Linked DNA regions of Kluyveromyces lactis. The protein of the gene in region 1 purifies or fractionates together with the protein of each later gene. This does not show direct contact. Links are inferred from orthologs where the notes say so. Each region holds a gene or a part of one and is shown on either strand. Other genes may lie near its edges. The genes, in order: SPT5 and RPB5.

Evidence for each region.
Region 2: the proteins of SPT5 (region 1) and RPB5 purify together in Saccharomyces cerevisiae (affinity purification with mass spectrometry, with the first as the bait; 3 studies listed by BioGRID). This does not show direct contact. The link is inferred for Kluyveromyces lactis from reciprocal best matches to the Saccharomyces cerevisiae genes SPT5 and RPB5.

What each region holds. Positions count from the first base shown.
Region 1 is NC_006038.1:68,525-73,049, forward strand, and holds the start of SPT5 (transcription elongation factor SPT5), read right to left. Parts: upstream 2,829-4,525; coding exon 1-2,828. Other genes in the region: RAD33 (Rad33p), read left to right, coding at 3,146-3,676; ERV25 (Erv25p), read right to left, coding at 4,004-4,525. UniProt on the Saccharomyces cerevisiae protein: The SPT4-SPT5 complex mediates both activation and inhibition of transcription elongation, and plays a role in pre-mRNA processing.
Region 2 is NC_006042.1:1,968,128-1,970,813, forward strand, and holds RPB5 (DNA-directed RNA polymerase core subunit RPB5), read left to right. Parts: upstream 1-1,450; coding exon 1,451-2,098; downstream 2,099-2,686. Other genes in the region: DUF1 (Duf1p), read left to right, coding at 1-909; RIB7 (2,5-diamino-6-(ribosylamino)-4(3H)-pyrimidinone 5'-phosphate reductase), read right to left, coding at 2,360-2,686. UniProt on the Saccharomyces cerevisiae protein: DNA-dependent RNA polymerases catalyze the transcription of DNA into RNA using the four ribonucleoside triphosphates as substrates.

The DNA.
Region 1 (4,525 bases):
GCTCCTGATTCTCCGCTTGCTGCCCAAGAAGAGGCGCCTCCATAACTAGATTTATTACCCCAAGTGGACGCACCACCCCAAGTTGATGTAGCACCTTGCCCACCCCAGGTGGAAGTGTTTCCAGCAGCTCCACCCCAGGCAGAAGCACCACCAGGGCCTTGTCCGCCCCATGTCGAAGCACCACCCCAGGATGAAGTTCCTCCGTTCTGGCCAACCGCAGGAGTTTTACCGCCATCAAATGCATTCCAACCAGGAGTCATTCCACCAGGAAGTTGTTGCGGAGTGTTCGTTGCCACCGCACCACCGGCAGCCATGTGTCTTGGTGCACTGACATAGCTTGGGCCCAATCTGGTATGTGGAGTTCTACCACGTCTACTAACAAGTTCATCGTATGTTATACCTTCACCACCTTCATGACTGAAGTAAGTAAGTTTTCTTTTGTCTATTGTAATATGCTTATTTTTGGAGTGCAATTCAATAGTAGCCTTATCTCCATTGACGTCTTTGACAATACCCAACTGCCCCTTGTATCCCGCAGAACGTATCCTAACAGTTTTGTTCAAAGCGACGTCACGGCCAACTAACCGCGTCTGCTGAGTAGTTTGTGGTGGTCCCATCTTAGACGCAATATTTGGATTTATTTTAGATAAATCCAATGCTGACGACATCAAGTTTTCTTTTGAGGCGACAGCCTCGACATTCATTGGATTAACAACGAAAACACCGGCATTTTCCGTTATTGTTTTCGATCTAATGAAAATATGTTGGTTTTGAACGTAGAGTACTTGTCCCTCTCTACGGGAACCGATCTTTTCTCTTACTACATCGCCAATTTTTATTTCTCTACCATTACCATCGACAGCAGCTACTTTCGCTCTTGCTACATTGATCTTGGCAAGAATTGAGCCTTTAGTAACAGTAGCCACTTTACCGGAGTCGTCAATAATCTTGAAAATATCATGTCCAGCCTGGATCACACATGCCACGTTTTTGGCACTTAACTCAACAATGTCATGTAGAGCGTACTCGCTTGATGTCGGAGTAGAATCCATAGATTTACTCAAGTTATTCGCAGAGATTGTCAAATTTTCTCTAGTTTGGTCAGAAACAAATGTGACTTGACCGTTCTGCACCAAAAGAACCAAACCAGCGTTACCTTCATGTTCACCAGCTATTACTGTGACATGGTCACCAAGTTCGAAAATTTTTCTTAGAGATGCAATTGGGAACTCTAATGATTTATCTGAAAAGCCCGATAGTTTAACGCTGATGACGTCTTTAGAACTTCTAGTCACCACACCTCTAGATCCACGTTGTTCCCCGGTCAACACTTCAACACGGTCACCTGGTTGAAACATAGCTTTAGAAGCTTGAGCTTTTTTCATAGTTTGAGCAATAGCTGCTAGATCGACATCACCTTCTTTACTGCCGAACCTTGATAATTCTTCCACCGTAGGTTGGATATTCTTTGTATCAAGATACTGAATCTTAAAAGATTTGAAAAGATAACCGTCAACATAATCTTCCTTCCTGTAAGTGAAGTGCCTGTCATCTCTTTTGAATAAGTTGGCTTGGTCTAACCTTAATGCCATAGTAGGGTTAAATAATTGAGGAGGAGGCCTACTAGCAAACGTTGCTCTCTTTGCCTTTCTCTGATTTGTATCTGGGTCGATTTCGTCATTTTTACCGTAGTCTAATCTGGGTACAATCTTTAATAGAGCTTCTAAGTTGTTCTGACTAATTTGATCAATGACTGCCAAATCATTCTTATAAATACCCCTTTTAATTCTAACATAAGAACCAACATCAAGTCTCACTTCATCTGACTTGGTAGGCTTTAATAGTAAAGGTAGTTCTTGCACGGGAATCAAAAGCTTTTGATTAGAATAGACATCTGGAACACCGTTGACAAATTTTTCGATAACAGATTGTTTTGGAGCTTCGATATAGATTCTTCCTGTGTAATTGTCTCTTTGGAAGATGGACAGAATCTTTAATTTTTTAGAGCCCATAGATTTATCCAAGTTAAACTTCTTATTTAGCAACTTTCTCACTAGTTCTTTCTCCTTCCCTGGTCTACAACGAACGGACCAAATAATAGCAGTATCAACACTTGGTAACATAAACCTCTGAGGTACATACCCACCTTGAGTTTGTACACGGTAATCTTTGGAAGAGTCACGACCATAACGTTTCTTGAAGTCTTCAGCGATCTTGTGCATGTCTTCATCCGCAGTTTTTTGAAGATTTTGATCTAATTCTCTATGCAGTCTGTCATCAACTCTACCACCACGATCCTCTTCGTCTTCTTCGTCACCGCGAGTAATGAAACCTTCACGAACTAGTTCTGAATCTTCTTCATCTTCTTCGTCGTCTTCGTCTTCACTGACTTCGGCTTCAATATCCAAGAATCTGTTTCTTTCACGACGTTGCTTCTTCCTATATGATTCGACATCTTCATCTTCGTCATCGTCATCGTCATTGTCATCGTCGTCATTGTCATCTTCATCATCTTCATCGTCTTTGTTTTCTTGACTGTTTTCTTGATTGTTCCCTTGATTTCCCCTAATTGGACTATCTTCAGTAGCCTCTGTCTTTGGTTTAGAATCAGTAGGAGCGTCCTTTAACTGATCGACAGATGCAGAGTTGTTTTCAGAACTCCCATCAACTTCATCGATAGTTCTTTTCTTGCCTCCAACCACATCTGTAGAATCAGACGAAGATGAAGTAGAGTTATGCTCCTTATCTTGACTCTCAACTGACCCAGAAACTGTTTCAGGTACAGAAACAGCCTCTGCTTTATCGGATTCCTCAGCAGTACCGCTCATGACGTCTTACTGACTGTTGCTTTGTATCGTGAATGCGAACTGTAATGCATACTGATCATCATTACAACTTAGCGTGGACTACCATTTTTGTATTGAAAATTGGGAAGTTTAGATTGAAATTTTTCAAGGATCACAAATAGAGGGTAACTCTCGCCTAAGTATTTCAAAAGTACTTAAGTAGCCGATGAATCAGTCTGCATCACTTCATAACGAACGGGCAGCTAGTACCTTATGTAGTCTTTAATATATAACATCAGCTCTGGCTACGTTAAGGACAATATTAACCGATGAGTCATTGCTGACCAGATAATGTAGTTATGCGGAAAAAGAATGATGTCAGTTATGACACAATTACCAGATGGAATGAGGCCAGAATGCCCACCGAGATTGAAGATGAAGTCCTATCGATATATTTAAGCTTCACCGAAGAAGGTGAATTCAAGTGGGCTGATATTTCTAGTTTTTATACGGAATTACAAATCAGTAAATCATGGTACGGATTATTAGAATTCAAGGACTTATGCTTGGATGGAATTGACGTCATAGATTTCGAAAAACTCTTGGATGTCACTTATCGACTCTTGATCTTCATGGACAACGAGAGTATAATAGATAAACAATGGGAACTACTATTAAAATATACCGGTAGATTGCAACAGTTCCCTAAGGTTGCACTAAGGAAGCACGTGATAAGTGTTAAAGATGTCCAGAAGGCTGCTGTTCAAGTGGATATGGATCAACATATTATCCTGTCAATGGTAAGTTGGGCTACGAACGGCGAGAGGGTATTTGTCACTTACCTAGACTTTGCCAAATTACTTGGTAAAATGGGTTTATTAAGATACTAGCATCATTGCAATCCACTAAATAATTCACTTCCTAAAAAACACGTCAATCTTTGGAACATTTGGAAGAATATCACTAGTAACTTAGTACAAAACTTATAAATGTAACTGGTGGCCATATCAACATAGAATTCTAGCAAAAACAAAGACCTACCCGTCTAGGCATAATATAATCCCTTTCCCCCTCTACTCGTCCGATTTAGAAATTATGCCATTTTCCATATATAGATACTGTACACGTATAAAAGGCTCACCATATGATGTATGTTTCTTCAATTCAATATTTGAAGATCGTATTGAGATTCAAGGCATTGAAACTATTCGAACATTCTAAATAATGTGCTTAGCTCTAAAGAAGTTCTTCATGTAGTTTACTTGCCATGCACCCAAAGCGACCAAAACAACGATGACAGCGATAGAAAAGTTTCTAACTCTTCTGTTGGTGGACTCGTTGGTGTCTCTTAGTCTTTCTTCTCTCCCCTTCAAGTAGTTGAATTCATCAACAATTTCGTCAGTCAATTCTTCAATCCTACGTAGTTCAACTTCCACCGGTTTCAATTTTTCACTGGCTTGAATCTTGTTCCAATCACGAGCCTCGGATCCGGATTCAATATCCAATTCAATGGAACGGCTCAAAGATCTACCGTTAACTTGCGCCACATTCTCGAAACAAACATCAAATGAGGTGGATTGTGGAGCAGTAAATACAACACGTACTTCTCCAGCAATGTCTCTATTCCTACGGTATTCGTTACCGTTACTGTCACGAACGTATAGATTCAACTGTTGACCATCACCAACAGAACCATCAGTCTCAATATCAATGAGCACTAATTGACCCTCACTGACAAA
Region 2 (2,686 bases), on another chromosome or scaffold:
ACATTTGGTTTCCATAACAGATCATCGAGGGTAAAACTAGAAACTAACAGCATCGATGACCTTCATAGTATCTCTTCTACTGGGAATGGTGAAGTGAACTTCAAATTCAATTCAAAGAGTTTTTCCAAAGATCTGTCTGAACGAAAGCCAGGACTTTTCTTGAACGAATATATCGAAGAAGTTTATCACGCTTATTTGAAACAGGCTCCAAACTCCTCATCAACGTTCATGAAGTTTGGGAGGCGGATCCCCGAGACTTTGTTCATCAGAGACTCAACTAGACCCGTGATACAAATCAAGAGTGGATGCATTCTCACGGTCAACCATTGGAAAGAGGGGTCCACAGGGGAAACTATTGCATTTTCCACATATCTCCCACCCCCTACATATACGGCAAACGACTTGATCGATAACTACCATACTTATGAATCATTAGAAAGACATCTCCCGATATGGCTTGGAAAGATTCTTTTCAAAGAGGATAAAGTCATTAAGACGTACCCAAAAATCACATTCATCATCCAGCCTTGGAAGGACGAGGCTCATTTATCGGAGGAAACGCAACAATCGCCAGAGGCTGAAAGACTAGTAGTAGAACATAAAAGATCAGGGTTCCACAAAAAATCTAAACCACCTGAATCACCCTTAATGCTACCGAAGATTAACGATAGCAATGTTAGATTAACAGCTGCAAATATGATAAAGGCAAAAAAGATCAAGACTTACATAGTGGATAGATTCGAATCAAAGACACCTGAGATGAAAAACAAAGAAGATCCAAGCGAATGGTTAGAAATCTTGTGCAAAGGAACAGTACTAGAAAACGATATCACCCTGAGTGCTATACGCACTTTATACTGGAAATCAAACACAGACATTGTTCTTGAATATAGACGTAAACCGACTTAAAATTAAGAGAGACTGTGAGACTAAGTTCTCACCCAGGCTTATCAATATATATATATATAACTAAATATAGACATATATACAAACATAGAACTACACCTGCCGCCCTTGACTCAGAGCATTCCATACCAACACAAGACAGGCACGTGACTGAAATCATGAAGGACGAGTTTGATGGTTTGGCTCTGTTTCCTTCTTTCATCGCATTGAAATTTCGAAGGTTTGTTGAAGTTTTTCTTTTTCTTTTCAGCCAAAATTTTCCAAAATTTAGAAAGCGATGAGAAACAAATCCATTAATTTGTTGATTGAAATTTAAGAAAAGATTGAAGTTAGGTAGCCGAATAGTCCTTGTACCGGTTGAAATTAAGGGGTAAGATTAGTTTGCATATCGATAATTGAGTTCTTAGTACTTGTTTGTGCATATCGATAATTGAGTTCTTAGTACTTGTTTGTGCATTTTAGAATTTAATACGAACTAATCTTCAAGCGGAAAAAGTTAGTTTCATAAGATATCAAAGGCAAGTGACGCACAATTTTTGTAACAATGGATCAAGAGCAGGAGAGAAACATTTCCAGGCTATGGAGAGCTTTTAAAACGGTGAAGGAAATGGTTAGGGACCGTGGATATTTCATTACCCAGGAGGAAATAGATTTGAGTTTAGAAGATTTTAAGGCTAAATACTGTGATTCTATGGGCAAGCCACAACGTAAGATGATGTCTTTCCAGTCCAATCCAACCGAAGAATCAATAGAAAAATTTCCTGAGATGGGTTCATTATGGGTGGAATTCTGTGATGAAGCATCTGTTGGTGTGAAGACGATGAAGAATTTTGTGGTTCATATTACGGAAAAGAACTTCCAAACTGGTATATTCATCTATCAAAGTGGTATTACTCCAAGTGCAAACAAGATTTTACCAACTGCAGCACCAGCAGTCATCGAGACTTTCCCAGAAGCATCTTTGGTTGTCAATATTACACATCACGAACTAGTCCCAAAGCATATCAGGTTAAGTGAGGCTGAAAAGAAGGAATTATTAAAAAGATATAGATTAAAGGAATCTCAATTGCCTAGAATCCAAAGAATGGACCCAGTAGCATTATACCTTGGTTTGAAAAGAGGCGAGGTTATAAAAATTATTAGAAAGTCTGAAACTTCTGGACGTTACGCAAGTTACAGAATCTGTTTATAAGAGCAATTAAAAAGAGCCATTCCCCAACCCTAAGTAAAGTAAATGCGTGTGTATAATAATAGACCAAATTAGAGCAAGAGAAACTAATAGGGCCTTAAACACACTCTTCGTATGAGAACCCATCAGGGGATATCATAATCTAATTACGATTCTTTTTTCAATTATTTAAGGAAATGATTAATCACGTTTTGAACATAGCATGTCTGAATTAAGAGAGTTCATTGATATAAGAATTCGAATTTTTAGGAAAACAGGTAAAGATCAGGAATGGCTCACAAGACGTGAACATAACACGCTATCCCTTGTTCCCTTCCACCAGGAGATATCTTTCAAATTAATTTCAATAAGAGGAGACACTTCAACACCCTCACTACCCAAGAAGGTGGCACCAACGGTGATGACCAGGGCATCGATAAGGTGTGGTCTCTGTAGCAAATCATTGATAACAATCCCACCACCTTCAACCATGATGGATTTTAATCCGAATTGAGATTTCAATTGGATGAACAAATCGTGCCAGTCCACTTTACCTGTAAAATTAGTTTGCATCACTAAATAGTCAACGTTCTCTTCTACAACTTCTGGAAG